Saccharomyces cerevisiae S288C: one gene and its partners. Changing the gene in region 4 together with the main gene of any one other region gives a genetic interaction. Each region holds a gene or a part of one and is shown on either strand. Other genes may lie near its edges.

Evidence for each region.
Region 1: mutations in PIH1 (region 4) and TEL2 together harm fitness more than expected from each alone (negative genetic interaction), as found in Saccharomyces cerevisiae (2 studies listed by BioGRID).
Region 2: mutations in PIH1 (region 4) and HAL9 together harm fitness more than expected from each alone (negative genetic interaction), as found in Saccharomyces cerevisiae (2 studies listed by BioGRID).
Region 3: mutations in PIH1 (region 4) and DBP3 together harm fitness more than expected from each alone (negative genetic interaction), as found in Saccharomyces cerevisiae (2 studies listed by BioGRID).

The regions. Positions count from the first base shown.
Region 1 is NC_001139.9:684,625-691,356, reverse strand, and holds TEL2 (Tel2p), read right to left. Parts: upstream 3,459-6,732; coding exon 1,392-3,458; downstream 1-1,391. Other genes in the region: GTPase-activating protein MDR1, read right to left, coding at 1-1,112; ESP1 (separase), read left to right, coding at 3,899-6,732. UniProt on the Saccharomyces cerevisiae protein: Part of the TTT complex that is required to stabilize protein levels of the phosphatidylinositol 3-kinase-related protein kinase (PIKK) family proteins. Required for telomere length regulation and telomere position effect.
Region 2 is NC_001147.6:149,898-155,443, forward strand, and holds HAL9 (Hal9p), read right to left. Parts: upstream 3,594-5,546; coding exon 501-3,593; downstream 1-500. Other genes in the region: mismatch repair ATPase MSH2, read left to right, coding at 1-379; protein disulfide isomerase MPD2, read right to left, coding at 4,015-4,848; DUF1 (Duf1p), read right to left, coding at 5,390-5,546. UniProt on the Saccharomyces cerevisiae protein: Putative transcription factor involved in halotolerance.
Region 3 is NC_001139.9:358,693-364,753, reverse strand, and holds DBP3 (RNA-dependent ATPase DBP3), read left to right. Parts: upstream 1-2,894; coding exon 2,895-4,466; downstream 4,467-6,061. Other genes in the region: 60S ribosomal protein uL30 RPL7A, read left to right, coding at 1-419; HNM1 (Hnm1p), read left to right, coding at 838-2,529; KXD1 (Kxd1p), read right to left, coding at 4,654-5,310; pyruvate transporter MPC1, read right to left, coding at 5,726-6,061. UniProt on the Saccharomyces cerevisiae protein: ATP-dependent RNA helicase required for 60S ribosomal subunit synthesis. Involved in efficient pre-rRNA processing, predominantly at site A3, which is necessary for the normal formation of 25S and 5.8S rRNAs.
Region 4 is NC_001140.6:175,177-180,571, forward strand, and holds PIH1 (Pih1p), read right to left. Parts: upstream 2,824-5,395; coding exon 1,789-2,823; downstream 1-1,788. Other genes in the region: YHR033W (putative glutamate 5-kinase), read left to right, coding at 372-1,643; GTPase-activating protein NEL1, read left to right, coding at 3,043-4,935; BRL1 (Brl1p), read left to right, coding at 5,169-5,395. UniProt on the Saccharomyces cerevisiae protein: Involved in pre-rRNA processing and required for the NOP58-snoRNA interaction.

The DNA of each region.
Region 1 (6,732 bases), on a different chromosome or scaffold from region 4:
GTACCGTACATCGTCTTTGAGTAATAACCTGGAACATAGATGTCACATAGATTACACAAGCACCAAAAAGCCTGCTCTTCAGACATAAAGATTAAAAATCCTGCAACAACTATATTCATGGCCTGGCAATATCCAACATCAGGGTTCTTCCACGAATAAGCTGTCAGAACATTTCTCAACCTTTGAATACCTTCTTCAGTCTGGTATGCTGAGTATTCGGGCAGCGATCTCTTCAAATCCTTCTCAATTTCGTCGATAGCTTGCGATGTTTTACCAGCATTCTCGTTTAATATCCTTTCGTACTCCCCAGAATTTGCATAACGCATATACATTGCACCTGAACATAGTTCCCAAATTTCACCTCTCATTCGATTTGGAACACCGATTCTGATTAACTTTCGGAACATAGGAGTTTGCACAACTGCCAAATTCCTTCCATTCTCTCTGAAATAATCGAACCATAGCCTCAATTTAGCCTTTTCTTTTACCATAGTAGGATTACCGGGATACTTGAAATGTTGTCCTAGACCTGCCCTGGGTACAGTTATGTCCTTTTTACCTAGAATATTTTTAGCAATTAAGAACTCCGAATATGAGGTTTCTAGAAAAGCAGGTAAAGTTTTGGCATTAGGAATATTTTCTTTCAAATTTAGTTTCAATTTGTCACAAAACTGCTCCGATCTATAACGTATACCGATAAATTGAATCAGAACCTTTGCTCCTGTGTACAAAGTTACTAGAAGAGCAAATTCATATGATTCGGATGGCGACCTCTCTACACGTTTAATGGTAGAAATATTCAGTATTAGTACGCACGATGAATGATCAAATGCATCTCGAAATACCAGAAAATGAGGTGTTAAAAACAATCTCCCGGAATACACATAAGCAGTTTTTCTCCCTTTATTGTTCACTCTATCAGAATGCCCTTTTCCATCTTTAATGGAAGTTGCAAATGAAACTTCTGCATTCGTATCTTCCAAAATGTTTTCATTAGCTGGAAGTTTATATTTTAATCTGAATTTCTCATCTCTGGTTAATGTTGGAGTGAAACTGTCTGCCAGTTTATCCAAAAAGGGTGCCTTTTGACGTAAAGAATCAAAAAATGACATATCCTATCCTTTAACTAATAATTGTATCAACTCTGAGGTTGTTCGGTGCTTTAATTGATGGATCAGTGCTTTCAAAATGTACAATTTCTTAAATGTTGTTGGGCCCTTACCAAGCAGATTTGTTCAGGCCTTTTCTTATTGAAGTTCTTTTTCCCAGTTGCAGGAGTCGGCCGACCTTCTGAAATAATATGCTGTGCATTAAATACTAACGACGCTGACAGAGAACGCACTAAATTTATTCAAATATGTATCATAAGATTGGTACAAATAACTATGCTACTAACCTTTATTGAGAGAAATTCCTTCCTCTATGGCTGAACTAATTATATGATTCATCAACTCCGTCATGGATTCAAAATCGTGGACCGGGTTAGCGCAAGAGTATATGATACGCAGTGTTGTTAAATAATGCGACTTAAAAAGCTGATTGTATGTGCCTACGTCAATTCCATTAAGCCAACCGTGTGCTAGCGGATAGAAGAATAGACCAGCATATTTTCTAAAGCGGTTTTGCGTTCCTTTTTCTCGATCCTTGCCTAGTTTTCTAGATTTCCATACTGTTTTCGTCTTCTTTATCATACTTGTTGACTCTTGAACTTCAACAAGCCTACTATTATGATGGCTTTGATCATCCCACGGTAAACGATTTGTTGGAAAATCAAACTTGGGCTTGACAATAGTAGGATCATCAAGCCCTCTCAACTCTCTTGCAGAAAGACCCAGAGCCGACAATAGTGACATCCTTTGCTGTAACGACAGTTCTGAATTGAATAGAATATTTATAGCGCCATTCACCTTCTCTGGAAGGACGACCAGTATGCTTGTTAGAGCGTTTATTCTCCACTGCTCGAAAAGCGGTTCATCAAATTCATTATTCAAGCACACAATGCTTGACAGAATACCTTGTGCATAATAGCCAACCTCTAACTGAAAATCCGCCTTTTGCCGTATCAATTTCACTGTTTGCTTCAGAAGTGGTATCAATGGAGCTTTTCGAGATTCCCCAGTTTTTTCGTATTCTTTCATTAAATCTTTTAAAAATACAATTCGTTTAACAATCTCCCGCTCATCGTTCTCATCTTCATCATCGCTATCACTGCAGTCCAATGTAAGGCTTTGAACATGACCCGAGACCTCAGTAATCTTATCCTTACCCACATCAGTTTGGGTATTGCATATGGATGGATTTTTTAAAGATTGGAAATCAATGATTTTATCATCGCTATTGCTTTCGAATTTGACATTCGGTATATTGATTTTAAAATCACTTTCGTACTTCAGATGACCGCCTGATAAAAGCTTGGCAATAAACATCGCACGCTCCCTTGCCTCACGTTCATTGCTACCTAAATGTTTGGTCACGCCATTCAAAAACCGCTCATCGTGTGCTATTTCCTCTCTCTGGGAATGATTGAGATTGTGCACTGCAAAGAGTACAAGCAATTCACATGTCTTTGTGTCTACTTCCTCATCTGTAAAATCAGCAAATTTACTTACCAAAGCGCTAACAAACTTCGTGGAAGAGTGGTTGCTCATCAGACGTACTATCACTTCCTTCAATGGCAGCGACTGTATTTCAAATAATACGGACAGACTTATGATTTTATCGAGATCAAACCGCCGCAGAATTTTCCTAACATCGTTCAAATTTTCTAAAGTCACGATAACTTGAATATATGGTAATAAAAACTTAGCAATCAGCCTCTTTTGATCTATCAGACTACTAGCAGATATGATTTTCTGAAAAGAAAAGAAATACGACTCTTTCAATAAAAATAATTCGCCTAATAACATATCTGCCGCTAGCACTGGGTTAAGCAAAAATGATGAAACTAACCATTCCCCTAAAAACCCAGGTGGATCTGTTTCATTACTCTCAAGTAGAAATTTCCACTGAAGCCGAAGGTATCCCAAATATTTCGCCATATCAATTCGGTTGGCCAACACATTAAATAACTTGCTCCCAAAGAAAAGGGCCTTAATGCTATCACGGTCTGCTTTGCTAGTAGTGCTTGCCTTTAAATAAAAAGTCAAACATCCCGGTTCAAAACTGATGATGTCTTCTAAAATTTCTTGGTATATGCGTATCTCTTGCAGTCCATCGCGGCCACTTATTGTCCTTGAGAAGGTGACAATTTGGCATAAAAATGTAAACGATTTAGAAGCTAGCCGTCTCAATATCACCTTCGATCTTTCTGGTAGTGATGGATAAACTGGAATTACGAATTTTATGAGAACCATCGAGGCATCTAGATCCACCGGTTCGCGAGGATAGGAATCTAGTTGTATTAAAGCTTCATGTATTTGACTGCTGTCAAGCCCTTGTTTCAGCGTTTCTAAAACCATTTCATGAGGAATTAAATGCGTATAAAGTAGCTCGATTCACGTTCTATTAGCGGCAACCTGTCCACAAGTACTTATTGTCTGCATTTCTTGGTGTTTGTTTTTATTTTCTTTCTTTTCAAACTTCACGGGTCTTTACAGAAAAGAGGTAAACAAACAAAAACAAGAACATGGATACAAAGCCCATCCACGTAACATTGCGCATTTGAAGCGAGAAGCTTACCACAATTAGTTAAATTCCTTTTGGAGGAATATAGACACTCTATCATCAGAAACATCCGAATTATTTTAGTTAGGACACGTTTCACAGGAGCATCTGGCTATAGCATATTTTTCTTTTCCTTCTAACTGCGAGCATAGTAAAAAGTTGACCTAAACCCAACATTTTTGAGGCTAACCTAGTAATAATTTAACCTAGGCACGAAGTGCTTATAAATTAAGGAATGATGGTAAAACAGGAGGAACCGCTGAATGAGATTAGTCCGAATACTCCGATGACTAGCAAGTCCTACCTTTTAAACGACACGCTTTCGAAAGTACATCATAGTGGCCAAACTAGACCACTGACCTCGGTGTTGTCTGGAGACGCCTCATCCAATTCTATTGGCATACTAGCAATGCATAATAACATAATACGTGACTTTACAAAAATTGCAAGCAATAACATAGACTTAGCCATTGAGGATATTACCACTGTTGACCATTCATTAAATTCAATATATAGCCTATTGAAGAGCCATCACATGTGGGGCCATATAAACTCCACTGTTAAACAACATTTGATGATAATTGTTAAACTAATAAATAATAACGCATTAGGATTGGCCTCCTCTGAAATTATTTTTCTTTTCAATGAAACGAATTTATTTCAAGCTCATAGTCTGAAAAACATTCTTCTAGCAGACTTCAGTACGTGGAACGACTACTATCTTTCAAATCTGAAAATATTAGCGCTGCAGATTATACTGAAAAGAAAGCTAGTAGACGAATACTTACCGCATATATTAGAACTATTTTCCCATGATAAAAGATATCTTTTGAAAGACCCTAACCTCAAAGCTCACGCTCTCACAAAAATCGTGCTGAGCTTTTTTTCTGTCACGACGAGTTGCAAAGTTCTATTCGGGCTAAAATTTCTACAATATATCAAACAGTTCAAATTACCTTTTAAAAAGTTCATTAGCAACATTACCGTCGAGTGTTTTAGCAAAAACCTTCTTCATAAAAATTATTTGGAGATGGGACCTAATAAAATATATTTAAATTCATTTTACTTATCCTATTCCATGCTGTACGATGGATTGGATAAAATAATGCTTCTAGACATTTTAAGTTACGAAGAAACTACTGAGGTACAAAGAGCGATAAAAAGTAAAAAAGAATTCAATGAATACTGCAACATGAGTGAAAACCGTCTTCTCTGGTCCTGTATATCTGTCGATGATTTGAACGTAATACTCGAAAATGCAACGAATTTTCTACAAAATAAAGGGAAACATATATCCGCAACATTAAAATGTTTAGTCTGTCTTTGGTCTACTATTCGCCTAGAGGGATTACCTAAAAATAAGGATATATTGAGGCAGTTTGATTGTACTGTTATTTATATCAACTCAAATATTAAATCCATTAATGACGAATCTGCGGCGGCATTATTATCCGAACTTCTGGGAGTTTTATCAGAAATTTGTATCGATTATAAAGAGCCTAAACGACTGTCAAATATTATCAGTGTCCTTTTCAATGCTTCTGTTTTATTTAAGAGTCATTCGTTTTTGTTAAAGACTGCTAATTTGGAAATCTCAAATGTTTTAATCAGTAATGATTCAAAAACATCTCATCGTACTATACTGAAATTTGAAAAATTTATATCTAGTGCTCAGAGTGCCCAGAAAAAAATTGAAATCTTTTCCTGTTTGTTCAATGTATATTGCATGCTACGAAATGATACGCTATCATTTGTTTTTGACTTTTGCCAAAATGCATTCATTCATTGCTTTACACGCCTAAAAATCACAAAATTCATCGAGTTTTCAAACAGTTCAGAAATTATGCTTTCAGTACTGTATGGAAATTCATCTATCGAAAACATTCCTTCCGAAAATTGGTCACAACTAAGCAGAATGATATTTTGCTCACTGAGGGGTATCTTTGATTTGGATCCTTTAGAGCTAAATAATACGTTTGATAAATTACACTTGCTCAACAAATATGAGCTATTAATACGAATAGTGTACCTATTGAACCTGGACATGAGTAAACACCTGACAACGAATCTATCGAAAATAACTAAGCTGTACATAAACAAATGGCTACAAAAATCAGATGAAAAGGCCGAGAGAATATCGTCATTTGAAATGGACTTCGTTAAAATGCTATTGTGCTACTTGAACTTTAATAATTTTGATAAGTTATCCATTGAACTTTCACTCTGTATTAAATCAAAAGAAAAGTATTACTCCAGTATTGTGCCTTATGCCGACAATTATTTGCTAGAGGCTTATCTGAGCTTATATATGATTGATGATGCCCTCATGATGAAGAATCAACTACAAAAAACAATGAATTTATCAACGGCGAAAATAGAGCAGGCGTTATTACATGCAAGTTCTTTAATAAATGTCCACTTGTGGGACTCTGACTTGACAGCGTTTCAAATATATTTTGGAAAAACACTGCCTGCTATGAAGCCTGAATTATTTGATATCAATAACGACCACAACCTACCCATGTCACTTTACATCAAAGTCATACTTTTGAACATAAAAATTTTTAATGAAAGCGCGAAATTAAATATTAAAGCTGGTAATGTTATATCCGCAGTAATTGATTGTAGAAAAGCACAAAATTTAGCATTATCGTTGCTCAAAAAGAAGAACAAATTGTCACAAGGATCCAGGCTAGCATTACTAAAAAGTCTATCGTTTAGTTTTTTCCAACTCATTAAAATACATATACGCATTGGTTCTGCCAGAGACTGTGAGTTCTACAGTAAAGAACTGTCTAGAATTATTTCTGACTTAGAGGAACCTATTATCGTCTACAGATGTCTGCATTTTCTTCACAGATACTATATGATTACAGAGCAAACCTGTCTTCAAAATATAACTTTGGGAAAAGCCAATAAGGCATTTGATTATCTTGATGCTGAGGCAGACATTACAAGTTTGACAATGTTTCTGTATGATAATAAGGAATTTGTAAAGTTAGAGCAGTCGTTGGTCCTATATTTCGGTGACCAGCTAGAAAAAACATTCCTACCTAATTTGTGGAAGCT
Region 2 (5,546 bases), on a different chromosome or scaffold from region 4:
CACGTTGTTATACAAAGTTGAGCCTGGTATTTCAGATCAGTCTTTTGGTATTCATGTTGCAGAAGTTGTTCAATTTCCAGAAAAAATTGTTAAAATGGCTAAACGTAAAGCCAATGAATTGGACGATCTAAAAACTAATAATGAAGATTTGAAAAAAGCTAAGCTATCATTACAGGAAGTTAACGAAGGTAATATTCGTTTGAAGGCTTTACTGAAAGAGTGGATTAGAAAAGTGAAGGAGGAGGGTTTACATGACCCAAGCAAAATTACTGAAGAAGCTTCCCAGCATAAAATACAAGAGCTATTGCGTGCTATAGCAAATGAACCAGAAAAGGAAAACGATAATTACCTGAAATATATAAAAGCCTTGTTGTTATAATTAATATTACAACGACATCTTAAGTGAGAATCGATAGATAATATATAGATACAAATAGTACATATAATATGCATTGGGAAAGAATTTTTATTTTTTACAATCTTTGTAGACAAGGTACAGTTTATTCATAATCCCTAAAAGTGTTCACGAAAGAATAATCTCTGTCATAGATCAATTTTCCTAAAGGCAATAAGGCTCTAAAAGCTTCGAAATCTTCCTTTATTCCACTGTCACTATTAAAATTAGAATTTTCAGGGGTCTCTAGACCACTGGAAAGAGTATCTCCGGTATCAGAACTATGGATGGGATAAACAAGAGATGTTAGGTCCGAACGAATTGGGTACAAAGATGAGTCATCAGATATTCCTTTCCTATTTGAAGATGGCGATAGGTCTCCAAAATTTGAGATGGGGGAGTGAGATTTTAATAGTTTTAAAATTTCGACTGATAACTCTCCAAATAAGTTTATTGGTGCTTCCTCCGCAAAGTCTTCTGAAGAAATATCATTCGTATTCAGTCCATCATCGGCGAGATCGGCTTCGTTGCCCTTTTGTAAAGAATGGAGAGAACCATATGATTTTAGACTCATAATTAGTTGATCGACTGTTTCATCTTTTATCTTTCTTGAATGCATAATAACTTTCGTTATCGTTTCATCATAAGGTTTAGAATCAAATATTGACGTAGAATCGTTCAAAGCATGATAACGTTGCAAAACGTATTTCAAAAAGTGGCTGTAGAACACAATCAAAGTGTTCCATTTGACATTGTCAAACAGTAACTGCTCATCATTTTCTCCCACTAATCGATCATAAGATTTTTTTAGGATATCGATGATCTCTTTTACCTCACCTTTCTTTTTTAGATCGTTCATATTATCCACAACGTAAAAGAAGAGAACAAACATAGCAGTAGAGAACTGATACATAACCTCGTTATACATATGCGCCTGGTAATTGATGCCTTGAAACAGCTGTAACATTTCTTTACTGGCGTTTAAGTATTGACTTGAAAAAAGAATGAATAGCTGAGGAATATCATGGCGAGAACCTTTGTATAGGCGTTCGTTATCAATCAATAAGGATGTAGTCATCATGCTCAAAATCACTTTAGAATATAGCGCCCTAAAATGACAATTCAAAACACGAGAGCATGCAATCTCAAAACTTAAAGCCGGATTTTCTTGGGATTTTTGAGCGTAAAGTACCGATAAATACTGTTTATAACTTTTTAGTTTCATACTTACGTGCAAGTTGTCTCTCCAATTGTTCAAAGAATCATTGAGATCTTTGATTTTATCAAGCATGGCATCGAATGAAAGATCTAGAGTACTTCTGACAGCAAAACAAGTAGAGTATATTTTACTCTCAATACTAACCAATTTTGAAACATAATATGATATGAAAAGGGATATGTGCTGACAAAAATTTACAACTACATTCAATGCAGAGTTGACATCAGTAATTTTATCGAGATCTTCCTTTTTATCAATAAGATCAGGTAGAATATTAGTTTTTATCACTTCATAATAATTTTGATCTGTTAGCATATCCATATCGCGTTCCCCCACAATAGGGGGTCTGGATAACATTAAAGAATATAGTTTATCTGTACAAAAACAATGCCACCACATTCTTCTTCTCCTTATGGCTTCTTCAAAGTCTAGTGACTTGTAAGAGGATTTTCTATTTAATTCCATGTCAACCGCCAATCTAATCGCGGTTCCTAAAATACAATTTGCTAGTTCAGTATCGTAGGTAAGTTGAAAATATCGGTTCAGTAGTAATAAAGCTTGTAGTGTTCTTGTACCTGAACAGATGGTGGACAGCTTATGATAATAATACATGGCATTTAGTAAGGCAACGTTTTCGATTTTTTTTAACTCTTGGGAGGTTGGATCATATCTATCTTTCCTTAGAAACTTTGAATCACCTCTTATAATTGATTGAGTGGCAGATGCACCCGAGCAGAGACACACGTTTAATAATAAATGTTCAGGATATGTGAGTTTTTCGCCGCTTTCGCTGTAGTACTTTTCTGCTAAGTCTAGACATTCTTTTAACGATATTATACCAGTTACAGAGGATAATAAGGTAGCATGAAAATTCTCAAGAAGTCTCTTTGCTTGCTTTTTCGGAGGTAATGAGTATAATATTATTTCGCTGGAGAAGAAAGCCGGAGATGACAAATCCATAAATTTTTTCATTTGAGTTGCATACCATTTTAAAGATATGCTTAATATTTCGCTGATTGGAGAAAGAAACTCCTCATTGGACGCTTTCACTCCTAAACTTTGTTTGAACCAATAGAGTTTTTGAGCAGTTAAAAGTGCCGTAGAGTATATTTTTCTCGCTGGTTTGGGCAAATTGTTCTTTTCCTTGTATTTGCCTTCCTGCTTTTTAACAGCCTTGTCCAATAACCACTCAAGTCTAGCCACACTGTCAATAATGTAAGACATTTTTCTATCCAATTTTTCAATCTTTGAATTCATTTTTTTGTTAAGATTATTTTGAATATTGGAGACTTTATCGATGATATTGCTTTCTAAGGGGGAATTACCGTTTAAAAGTTCAAACCTTCCACTGTTCGGTACTGAAGAAGACGCTACAGGATTGCTAATACTATTTGAGGTTTGAAGTGATTCCCCTGGTGTTGCATGATGTTTGATTTCTAATTTTCTTTTCTTCTTAAGAATCTCATCACGATGTTTGAAAGTGCAAGGCAACTGAAACTTAATACAGTTTGAACATTTTTTGGTCTGCTGGTCCACTTCATCACATCTGATTTTTCTTTTTCGGCAATGGTCACAGGCCTTTGATACACGTTTCTTGAGATTTTTACCAGAGCCGCTCATATCATTACTGTTAGTGTGTTCCATCATCGTGCTGATGTCACGGTTCTGTTGTGTCTGAAATTGCGACTGATGCTCTGTTGGCGAGTATATTGTATTGGGATAAGCCACATTCATGGGGATATTTGGACCTATTGTACTACCTGTCATAAGGGTGTTTTCTCTGTTAGGCATCGTCATCAGTTGATCTGGCACAGGCATCGACCATATTTGAGTTTCAGGAACCAGACGTGGGGTACCAGTTTGATGGTTTACATTTGAAATGTCACTTCTACCGGTGATTTCATTGTTAAAAACCGCATTCATATTGCTTGCTGAGTTTGAAAACCCATTTGGGCTGTAATCTCCACCTTGATTTTCCATTATTTCAAACCGAAGATTTGGAGTGGAGAGTGCTGATTTCCTAAGTTGAATTAAAGTACGATAATAAGCTCCCTAAGACATTTATTCTTTTTTCGAATTAAAGGCTTTTTATATAAAGCCATCTTTCATGTACGTAATTGGAGATTATACCAAAACCAAACAGGGTAAGAGATGTTTCTCTAATGAATAAAATAACAGTGTTACCTTAGCACAAGCCAATATTCAAAACACATGTGGTAGACCTTCTGTAATATTTATGTATATCTCCATAATCTTTCACCTACACAATCTCACTTATATTGCGGCTAACGTACATTGTTAAATATATATGTATCTGTGTATTTGTTGTACCTCAGGGTGAGGGTCCCGCTTCCGTCTGTAGTCGGTATTCGTAAAGTAAAAGACAGAGCGAAGCTTATGTTCAAAGCTCGTCATGACTACTGGTATCTTCTAACTGGTCTTCTATGTGTGATAATAGGCTCAATTGTAGACGAATGATTTTCAGTTTTTCTTTAACTTCTTTACTCAAGTCATCTCCATTTTGCTTAATTAAAGCTTCTAGTCTTCGCCTTTCCTTTTCCAGCCCATTCACGTCACCGTATAATTTAGATAAAGTATCAGAGTAGTATTCTTTACCAGCTTTACACAGAAGCTGTTGAGAACGTAATTCTTCATTGCAATTCCTAGAATCATCGAAAATATGTTCTATGAATCTTTCTTCTGTATCTTTACTTCTTACAGTATCGATAAAGTTGCTTAAACTCTTTAGGTTCCTACTCCCTTCAAAACGAACAACCCTAGACGTATCCAGTTGGTACTTAGGATTGTTGAACCACGTCTTGATTCTTTGCCATAGTCTTTCATGAAATTTCATAGACGACCAATCGAGCTTCGGAAGAACTAAGGGCTTAGTACGAGGTTTGACCAGTTCAATTATTGGAAATCCAGGCAAGTCGGTACATAAAGTTGGCCCGAAGAATTCACAGTTAACTTCAAGGAAGTTAATTGGGGTATCATCTTTATTAGCTTTTTTGGCGTATAGCTCACCAAGCTCTTCGTATACTGGGGCCAGAGTTTTACAATGTTGGCACCAAGAAGTGTAGTATTTTATCATTGTGTAAGAATCATTCCTATTGCAGATATCGAAGTACTGCTCAATCGACTTGACCATCGTGACAGCTTCACTGTAGGCCAACGCTGGTAAAATGACGACGCATGTTGATAATACGGAAAATAAAAAGCCGTGCAATTTCATCTCCTTTGTGTTTTACTTTGCCGACGTACTTGCACTAGACTCGCTGTGTTTTTTTTCTGTTGTTTTGTTGTTATGCTGTTCTTTAGCTCAAAAAATTGGCCACTGTTCCCCGCTCTGTAAATTAATTGCTCTTAAAGAAACAAAAATGATTAAAAAAAATTAGAAATATTTGAGATAATAAGAACATCATTCAGGTCGCCCATATTCACAATTATTTACAGACTGTATTTTAATGAAGAATGTGTGCATAACTTGATGGTACCTATTCAATATAAAATTTGATAAATAAATAATATTATAAAAATGTCTATGTAATTATTATAAAGCTCTAGAGTATGTATGAGTTGTTACACATAGCATTCCAATGAGTACTTGCTTTTTTCTTCGTTCTTTAGACATTTCAGAAGAATATTCTTTATCTTGTCATTGTTACTGCAACTACTATTATAGTATTATTAGTATTATTGTTGGTATTGTTACTATATATTTACGCTTAAAAACTCCAAATTCAGACCCCAAAATATAATTTAAATAAACATTATCATTTCCCCTCATTCCCGTTGACCTCATGAACTAGCGGTGAATTATGTACTTTTCTTCTGTATTCTAGAACTATGTCACCCTGAGATTTCCAGTAAAGTGTTCTAACGGTATTTAAAGTCATATCGTTATCAAGCACTTGGCCCCTACATAGTAGA
Region 3 (6,061 bases), on a different chromosome or scaffold from region 4:
TAAGATTGACAAGAATCAACTCTGGTACATTCGTCAAAGTTACCAAGGCTACTTTGGAACTATTGAAGTTGATTGAACCATACGTTGCTTACGGTTACCCATCGTACTCTACTATTAGACAATTGGTCTACAAGAGAGGTTTCGGTAAGATCAACAAGCAAAGAGTTCCATTGTCCGACAATGCTATCATCGAAGCCAACTTGGGTAAGTATGGTATCTTGTCCATTGACGATTTGATTCACGAAATCATCACTGTTGGTCCACACTTCAAGCAAGCTAACAACTTTTTGTGGCCATTCAAGTTGTCCAACCCATCTGGTGGTTGGGGTGTCCCAAGAAAGTTCAAGCACTTTATCCAAGGTGGTTCTTTCGGTAACCGTGAAGAATTCATCAACAAATTGGTTAAGTCCATGAACTAAACTGGTTGAAGTCACATTACATATAACTACTTATTTTATCTAAGTCCTATATAGTTCTGTTATTCACTAGTTTGTATATTGTACCTCTAATTTATCTTATAATTTCGTCAGTAATGACTTATAATTGGCTTTATTTTCTTCTCTTTTTTTTCACATGCGCAGAACCTATATAACGAAAAAAAAAAAAATGAAAACTGAAGATAAGCGGCCTTGACTTCTCTAAACTGCCGATATTTCAACGAAAGTTAGCCAACTTATTTATAAAAGCCTTGAATACCAACAATTGGAAAGAAGGTGTCTGTGCTTATCATATATAGCTTGCATAAAGAAAAATTATAATATCTTCGAACTTCCATAGAAAGAATATCTTTCAGTGTTAACTGGCTCATTTACTCAGAAATTAGTATTTTGAAGAACGATGAGTATTCGGAATGATAATGCTTCCGGTGGCTATATGCAGCCGGATCAATCTTCGAACGCTTCTATGCACAAAAGAGACTTAAGAGTTGAGGAGGAAATAAAGCCATTGGATGATATGGATAGCAAGGGTGCTGTAGCAGCAGATGGTGAAGTTCATCTAAGAAAGTCATTTTCGTTGTGGTCAATTCTTGGTGTTGGATTCGGTTTGACTAATTCCTGGTTCGGTATTTCTACATCGATGGTTGCAGGTATATCTTCTGGTGGACCCATGATGATTGTTTACGGTATAATTATTGTTGCCCTGATTTCTATTTGCATTGGTACCTCGTTGGGTGAATTATCTTCCGCATATCCGCACGCCGGTGGTCAGTTTTGGTGGTCTTTGAAGCTTGCCCCTCCTAAGTACAAAAGATTTGCGGCCTACATGTGCGGTTCATTTGCTTACGCAGGATCCGTGTTCACAAGTGCTTCAACTACGTTATCCGTTGCTACCGAAGTGGTTGGTATGTACGCTCTGACGCACCCTGAATTCATCCCAAAGAGATGGCATATATTCGTTTGCTTTGAATTGTTGCATTTGTTCTTGATGTTTTTCAACTGTTACGGTAAATCCTTACCTATCATTTCATCTTCCTCTCTATACATTTCCCTACTATCCTTTTTCACAATTACAATTACTGTATTGGCATGTTCTCATGGAAAGTTCAACGATGCAAAGTTTGTTTTTGCCACATTTAATAATGAAACAGGTTGGAAGAACGGCGGTATCGCCTTTATTGTCGGTTTGATTAACCCAGCTTGGTCATTTTCGTGCCTTGACTGTGCAACCCATATGGCGTTTGAAGTTGAAAAACCAGAAAGAGTTATTCCCATTGCTATCATGGGAACAGTCGCCATTGGGTTTGTCACTTCCTTTTGTTATGTTATCGCTATGTTCTTCTCTATACAAGATCTGGACGCTGTCTTGTCTTCTACAACAGGCGCCCCAATCTTGGACATTTATAATCAGGCATTGGGTAATAAATCAGGTGCGATTTTCCTGGGTTGCTTGATTCTATTTACCTCTTTTGGTTGCGTCATTGCTTGTCACACTTGGCAGGCAAGGTTATGTTGGTCATTTGCCAGGGACAATGGTCTTCCATTATCCCGTTTATGGTCGCAAGTTAACCCACACACTGGTGTACCTTTGAACGCTCATTTAATGTCATGCGCTTGGATAACCCTCATTGGCCTACTTTATTTGGCTTCCAGTACGGCTTTTCAGTCCTTAATTACAGGTTGTATTGCATTTTTATTGTTATCCTACATCATTCCGGTTATATGTTTACTTGCTAAAAAGCGTAACATAGCTCATGGTCCATTCTGGCTTGGAAAATTTGGATTTTTTTCAAACATTGTTCTTTTGGGTTGGACTGTCTTTTCTGTGGTCTTTTTTTCCTTTCCACCAGTTTTACCTGTGACAAAGGATAACATGAACTATGTTTGTGTAGTTATTGTTGGTTATACTGCGTATTCGATTCTTTACTGGAAATACAAGGGTAAGAAGGAATTCCACGCTTTAGAAGAATCTGAGAACGAACAGGCTGAATATAGTAATAACTTCGATACCATTGAAGATAGTCGAGAATTTTCCGTTGCGGCCTCTGACGTTGAACTCGAAAATGAACACGTACCGTGGGGAAAGAAGTGAATTTATAGTGTTGATCAGTCGACCGTTATTTATTTTAAGTATATTATTTGCATAGAAGTAATAAAAGTGAATTTTTTTTAATGGTTTGTTAAGCCATTTTAGACGAGGGACTAAGATATTTCAACCTAAATATCCCTCAGGCTTTGCGCTCTTGAAAGCGATGTGACTGTAATTCAAATTTCTTGAAATATTTTTGCGGGAAAAAGATGAAAAATTTTTCACCTCATCGCATAAGAAGCAAATAAAAAAAAAATATTAATAATAGATAGGCAACAATATAGCAGCTCAGAGATATAGCTTAACTTCATTTTACAGCCTTTTAACGAAAGCATAAGTATTAACAGTTTGATATATAGGGGATTAAAATGACAAAGGAAGAAATCGCAGACAAGAAGAGAAAGGTTGTAGATGAGGAGGTAATTGAAAAAAAGAAGAGTAAGAAACACAAAAAGGATAAGAAAGACAAGAAGGAAAAGAAGGATAAAAAGCATAAAAAGCATAAGAAGGAGAAGAAGGGTGAGAAGGAAGTGGAAGTACCAGAGAAAGAATCTGAAAAGAAACCTGAACCTACTTCTGCAGTGGCTAGTGAGTTTTATGTTCAGAGTGAAGCACTAACCAGTCTTCCACAATCTGATATTGACGAATATTTCAAGGAAAATGAAATTGCTGTTGAGGATTCTCTGGATCTAGCCCTACGTCCGCTATTATCATTTGATTATCTTTCTTTAGACTCTTCCATTCAAGCAGAAATTTCCAAATTTCCAAAACCAACGCCTATTCAAGCCGTAGCCTGGCCATATTTGTTATCTGGTAAAGATGTTGTTGGTGTTGCTGAGACCGGTTCTGGTAAAACATTTGCTTTCGGTGTTCCAGCTATCAGCCATTTAATGAACGATCAAAAGAAAAGGGGCATACAGGTTCTAGTCATTTCCCCAACTAGAGAACTTGCTTCCCAAATTTATGATAATCTGATTGTATTAACTGACAAGGTTGGTATGCAGTGTTGTTGTGTTTATGGTGGTGTTCCAAAGGATGAGCAAAGAATTCAGTTAAAAAAGTCACAAGTGGTGGTTGCTACACCTGGTAGATTATTAGACCTATTGCAGGAAGGATCTGTTGACTTATCTCAAGTTAATTACTTAGTATTAGACGAGGCAGACAGAATGTTGGAAAAAGGTTTTGAAGAAGACATCAAGAATATTATCAGAGAAACTGATGCGTCCAAAAGACAAACTCTAATGTTTACCGCTACCTGGCCAAAGGAAGTCCGTGAATTAGCTTCCACGTTCATGAACAACCCAATCAAAGTATCTATTGGTAACACGGACCAACTAACTGCTAACAAAAGAATTACACAGATTGTTGAAGTGGTGGACCCACGTGGAAAAGAAAGAAAGTTATTGGAACTGTTGAAAAAGTACCACTCTGGTCCAAAAAAGAATGAAAAGGTCTTGATTTTTGCTCTTTATAAGAAGGAAGCTGCTCGTGTTGAAAGGAATTTGAAATATAACGGGTATAACGTCGCAGCTATCCATGGTGATTTGTCCCAGCAACAAAGAACGCAAGCATTGAATGAGTTCAAAAGCGGGAAGTCTAACTTGTTACTGGCCACCGACGTTGCAGCAAGAGGTTTAGATATACCAAATGTTAAGACAGTTATTAATTTAACTTTCCCATTGACTGTGGAGGATTATGTCCATAGAATCGGTAGAACTGGTAGAGCTGGTCAAACAGGCACAGCACACACTCTGTTCACTGAACAAGAAAAGCATTTGGCTGGTGGACTGGTTAACGTTTTGAATGGTGCCAATCAACCTGTTCCTGAAGATTTGATAAAGTTCGGTACTCACACTAAGAAGAAGGAACATAGCGCTTATGGTTCATTCTTTAAGGACGTCGATTTGACTAAGAAACCAAAAAAAATTACTTTCGATTAGGGGTTTTTTCGTTTACTTCAATCTTGGATTTTCTTCTCTAATAATAGCCAATCGAGAGTCGGAGATTTATTAACAAAACACTGTATATTACTATTATAACTGCCCACTTTCATTTATCATTAATATTATTTAAATTGACTCTCACATAGTATACATATTTTCTAGAAAAAAAATACGATTCAGTATATCAGCAGTCATGGTCTTCATTCAATCTGCGCTCAAGAATTTTTTCTCTTGCCTGATTAAACTCTATGGGGAAATCGACACGCAAAGCAGCGTTTAAATAGTCGATGTTCTTTCTTGAAGTTTCTAAATCACGTTTTATTTTTTTTGAAGTAGCCTCACCATTTTCAAACTTCTCTTGCAGTTGAGTGAGCCTGCTCTTCATTTCATCAATATATTGTTTAAGCTCTAGGCTTTTCGAATTTATAACAGCGGAGGTTTTGGTCTGTAGAGAAAGTGCCTCTGAGAAATCAGCAGAATCAATAGATTGTTTTAGAGAATCAAAAATATATCTAGAAACGTCAAATATTGGACCAGGATCCTGGGCATCCGTGGGTAGCAAATTGCTTGACTGAGGGATATCGTTATCTAGGAACAAATCTTCGTCAACGTTAGATTCATTGTCCATTTCATTTTGCTCCACAACATCTGAAACGTTACTTCCATCACTATCGAAGCTACCACTTGAGTTGCTAGTGGTGCTGATCGAATCATGGAAAGAGCTGGACATTTCCTCTGTTATAGGAATCGCGTAGGATTGAGAATTAATACTGGGTGTTGAAGAATGAACAGCCGAAAAAGTCTCTTCATCATCATTTTCCTCCGATATTCCGGTCACCATTGTTCTTCACTAAGTGTTGGTAACCATTATTTTGCCTCTCTTATTATTTTACTATAATATAGCTGCGACTTTTCAGTGAAAAACGTTCTTTTTTAACTTTTTGAATGGCTGAATATAATCAGTAATACAAAGGAGATGAGAGGGAAATTGTCTTGGATATAAAAGAAATATTTGAATAAAGACATAATAATTATTTAGGTTATTTAGAATATGTCATCTTATGTAGTTTGGTTCAATACTAACTACTAAATAAAATGAAACTCATAGAGATAATGGTTCTATAGCATGCATATATGAAAAGGAGAAGAGGTAAAAATGAGAGAATATGCATGAACATATCCATCCTCTTAATCCTTGCTTGTTCTTTTTTATGTTTCCATCTAGTCACCTACTTCAGGTTCTTAGACTGCTCGTTTTACTGTTTACCAGTTTTTTCTTTCTCTTTCCATTCCTTATCTAGAGCTTTCTTCTCCTCATCTGTTGTGAAATACGTGTATTTGAGAAACCTATAGCCTTGAGCTAATTGCGCAGTTTCATTAATAAGGTGGCATCCAAACAGTAAGTAGTTTTTGGGTGATACTGAAAGAGCATACTTCATGAAAACACCTGAATAGGTAACTAAAGCAAAAGTCATTGGGCCAGAGATTAGTGTAGGGTCTTTTTTCAGATCATATATAGCAGCAATTGGGATACCGAAATTTGATACGGGACCCCAGAAGTGTGTTGTGAAAATATATTTCAAAGTTTCTTT
Region 4 (5,395 bases):
TGCTGAGACCCATACATCATGAAACTCCTTCAGGGTCGAATGACGTATAGGGGAGATGCACACCCCCACCCCCGCATCACACCCAGTCTTCTAGCCAATTATGTTGGTAATTTTAAGGGTTTCGCCATGTGGCATGCCACCGGCAAAATAATACACGTGCCCGTACGGCACCAAACGGGCATGCATTTTTGCATTTGAAAAAGTTTGCTGCCCTTCATGTGCTTTTATGTATGCATACACATACACATTCGTGCATACATTCATTTATATATATATAGAGTGTGCATCGTGCATATGATTATTCATTACCACTTTTTTTGTTTTTGATTTTGTTCGTCAAAAGGAAGAGAAAAGGCATATCGAAGGGTGTAATGACAAAAGCTTATACTATCGTTATCAAGCTGGGCAGTTCGTCGCTCGTCGACGAGAGCACAAAAGAGCCAAAGTTGTCCATCATGACGTTAATCGTCGAGACCGTGACGAATCTTAAGCGCATGGGCCACAAAGTGATCATCGTATCCAGCGGCGGCATTGCCGTTGGTTTGGACGCTCTCAACATTCCGCACAAGCCTAAGCAGTTGTCTGAAGTGCAAGCGATTGCCGCTGTCGGACAAGGCCGTCTCATCGCGCGCTGGAACATGCTGTTTTCCCAGTATGGCGAGCAAACAGCGCAGATCCTGCTCACGCGTAACGATATACTGCGTTGGAACCAGTACAATAACGCACGCAATACAATCAACGAACTGCTGGCCATGGGTGTCATCCCTATAGTCAACGAAAACGATACGCTATCCATTAGCGAGATCGAGTTCGGCGATAACGACACGCTTTCTGCCATTACCGCTGCTCTTGTAGGGGCGGATTTCCTGTTCTTGCTCACAGATGTGGACTGCCTATATACAGACAATCCGCGCACTAATCCGGATGCTCGTCCTATTGTTCTCGTGCCAGAGCTATCAGAGGGCCTTCCGGGCGTCAACACTTCCAGTGGTTCAGGCTCCGAGGTTGGCACGGGCGGAATGCGCACCAAACTCATAGCCGCCGACCTCGCCTCTAATGCCGGTATCGAGACTATTGTGATGAAGAGCGACCGTCCAGAGTACGTCCCGAAGATCGTTGACTACATTCAGCATCACTTCCGCCCTCCGCGCCATATCGGAAACGGCACACAGCAGCAGTTTCTCGATCTTCAGGATACGGAGCTCGAACAGTTGCGTCGCTACGATGTTCCCATGCACACCAAGTTCTTAGCTAATGACAACAAACACAAGCTTAAGAACAGGGAATTTTGGATTCTGCACGGGCTCATTACCAAGGGCGCCATTATCATCGACGAGAACAGCTATGATAAACTTTTGTCAAAGGATATGGCTAGTCTGACTCCAAACGCCGTGATCGAAGTCCGAGACAACTTCCACGAACTTGAATGCGTTGATCTCAAAATAGGCCAGCGGTTACCCAATGGCGAATTGGATATCTCGAAGCCGATTCAGTCTGTTGGATGCGTCCGCTCCAATTATACGAGTCTGGAGCTTGCGAAGATCAAGGGCTTACCCAGTGAGAAGATTCACGATGTTTTGGGCTACAGTGTGAGTGAATACGTAGCACATAGAGAAAACATCGCTTTCCCTCCGCAATTTTGAGAATATTCCCTTTTTTTTACCGGATTAAAAAAAAAAAAAAAAATTCTGTTATAGATGCACATCATATCTCTCTCCTTTTTCCCGCTTTTATATATTCGTTCGTATTAGTCACAACAAAAACCAAAAGAATACTCGAAATGTTAGTTTATATATATATATATAGTGTGCGTTCTTTGCGGATATGGAAAATCTTGATATCTGCTGCATTCACGACTATGTCGCGCGGCAAAGGTATGCTCAGCTTACCGTTAATGTATAAAATATTCTCTGCGAAGTTGTAGCTCGGAGAGAACCGGTCCGGCTTCGAGTTCGGAGCTTTGTTCTCAATAAGAATTCGCAGCTTGTAGGCGGCCCCTTTGAACCTCTTCATCTTTACCTCGTATTCCGGCACGTCCTCCTGCTGCTCGTGCGGTGCAGGTGCAGGTGCAGGTGCCTGTTTCAGGTTTCTGTGAGCAATCTCGTTCTTATCAATCTCCTCTATCTTGGCTCCGGAGATTTTGTTCTCGATAGGGAACAATGGTGGTAGTGTTCCATCGTCGGGATCATTATTATCATCGCCATCGTCATTCCTTCCTCTCAATATACTCATCGGGTCTCCGGCCTCCTCTTCTATGATTTTATGCATTTTTGCCTTGTAATCTTGATGTAACTCATCATTCAATACCTCTAGTGCAGGAAGCTCAGCGCCCTTCTTCTTCATCTTGGGGAATGCAATGCGATCTCTGCACAATACCACCGAATCTCGGATCTCACATGACTCCAAGCACCATTCGACCAGTATCTCTCGCAGTTGGATATCATCGCATATCCAGCGCGAGCAATCGCTATTTATGCAGCAATCCCACACATAGCACTCCTGCCCCTTCTTGTCATGGTCCATGCGGTAGCAGGATGTAATAATAGGAATCTCCCATTCGTTTTGGATGATGAGCGGGAACACTATCCTTGCATTAAAATCGACCTCAGGTTTGGGCACTAACGGAGAGTGACAAACATTGATGAACACCTTCCTGCCATCTTGCAGTTTTTCCGGCCCATTAGCGGATAATAGTTTTGTCTTAATTACAAAATCTGCGATGGGCTCAATTTTAGACACCGATCCGTCTGCAGCGTCCACCGACACGTACTTGTCCTCGTTTCTATGACGTTGCTTAATTGGTCTCAATAAGAAATCGGCCATCGGTTAAGGTCTGTTTGTTCGCTTTGAAAAGTCTGTTCCCTGTATTCCTTTTTCTTCCATGCATATGAATTCAAGAATTCCTAGTTTTTTTCTATCATTATTGTCTTCTGATTTTTTTTAAGGAAAAAAAATATCAAGAGTAAAAATAGTGATCAGGTACTGAATCCTGTATTTGTACAATACTGCAATCTAGCACCAAATTTGGCCAAGGAAGTGCCTATGTGTTCTCCAACTAATTTCTTATATGAGCCCTTTTCCAGCGATGCTGTGACGCAGAACTATGACCAAAATCTAAAATGCACCAAATGTGGCGCCTATTATTCGATGGCTTGTTCCCTACGAGAACAGAATGTTTGGACTTGTCTATTCTGCAACCAATCAAACTCAAATGCTGAATTGCCACTGGTACCTTCCAACACCTATACATTGACTTCTGCAAAGAAAGAAATACTTTCAAGACGGACCATTATGATTATAGACGCTATTTGCGATCCTCATGAGCTAAATTATTTAGTTTCCATTCTATGTAATAATTACATCACAAGACAACAAGAGCCACTATCAATAATTACTATTCAGCAATCAGGTCATGTGATTTTACACAATGCTGTGAATCACAGACGTGATGCTGTATTTTCAATAAATGAATTTATGACCAAATATAATCTTGATAAATTAAATGCCAGTTACTTCGAGAAAAAAATTTCAGAAATCAATCAAGAATCATACTGGTTTGATAAATCTACTCAGGGTTCTTTAAGAAAATTGCTACGGGAAATATGCAAGATTGCAAACAAAGTGAATATCAGTTCTAAAAGGGACAAGCGTTGCACCGGATTAGCGCTGTTCGTTTCATCCGTACTGGCGTCTCAGTGCAGTTTGTCAGCCTACTGTCATATAGTTTCATTCCTGAATGGTCCATGTACTAAGGGTGGCGGCAAAGTTATGTCAAGAGAACGTGGTGAAAGCATGAGACAAAACCACCATTTTGAATCCAAAAGTTCACAATTGCAACTATCAAAAAGTCCGACAAAATTTTACAAGAAAATGCTTGAAAAATTTGCAAACCAATCGTTAATCTATGAATTCTTTATAGCTTCATTGGATCAAATCGGTATACTCGAAATGAGTCCATTAATAACTTCGTCAATGGCAGTTTCTCAGTTTGATTCATTCAATGATGAGAGATTCGCAATGTCTTTTCAAAAGTACCTGAACTTGCGTGACCATAATGCCATTTACAATTGTCATTCAAAGATAATGACCGCAAAGAACGCTATTGTCGTTAAGGACTTCCCAAAATATAGCTTAAACCCTAAAAACCTTTCTCTACCATTAGAAATCTCACTAGGTCACAATTCAGCTGAAGCTCCTATACAGTTTCAAACCACTTTTGAAAATCAAACGGAAAAATACATAAGAATTGAAACCCTCTTATTGCCAAAAGCCAATAGATCATTTGGGGCACAAAATGAAATTGTGTTTTCAATGAAAAAGATAGCCTCACGAATTATCGATAGCTTTGCTTACTCATCCAAGCACACTAAAGAATTGATGAAGCAATTGTTTCTATTACCAAATCAAATCCGGGGAAAAGACGTAGATATGGTCAATCTGATACAGTGGTGTTATCATATATATAGGTCTCCAATTCTATCGGTTCGGAATACTTCACCTGATGAAAGGTACCTTTTTCTTCACCGAATAATAAACGCTTCTAAAGACACATGCCTTTCATTATGCAAACCCTTCATCTGGAGTTACAGTGATTTGAAACACGACTGGATCGTGTTGGATGTCCCATTAACAAGAGCCCAGATACTTCAAGATGATAAAACCACCATTTGTGTAGATGGTGGCTCGTACTTAGTTTTAAGAAGGGGAAAACTTTTGGAAAAAGAAGGTCGCGAGCTCTGTTGCAAGCTTTTAAATGACTTGCAAAGGTTTCCGCAGCCATTATATGTTGAAACTAAAACCGGTGGCAGTCAGGACCGTTTCTTGAAAAGCAAAATTATTCCCTTGGACATCACTGACAAGGAAACTCTTGGTACAGAGGATATGACATTCAATGAATATTTCAACTTGTTCACCGATCTAAGTGGAAGCAAATAACTCGCTAAATATTCTTGCTGCACTTTGCGACGCCTGTATTGGCGAAAACAAAAAGTAAAGAAAAAAAAACTTTAGATGAAATAGAGCAAAATTCCCTAAGACAATAGAAGATACAAAAGCAAGTTGGGCCCTTAATTTCATCAAAGGTATAGCATCTCATCAAATAGTCGCTTGTTTATCGCAATACTTGCTTATTGAGTAGTTGTATTATAACGTTATATAGGATCTTCCATATGGAAAGTTTTGAAAATTTGAGCATAAGAGACAGTTTCACTAGCGGAATGGAACACGTTGACGAGGAGTTAGGAGGCCTCTCCGACCTAAGTATATCTAAGCAGGGGCCAACTTTGTCACCACAGCTTATCAACCGATTTATGCCCCATTTTCCCTCGAGCCCATCACCTCTGCGAAATACATTGGATTTTAGTGCTGCTAAAGCTGATGAGGAAGAAGATGACCG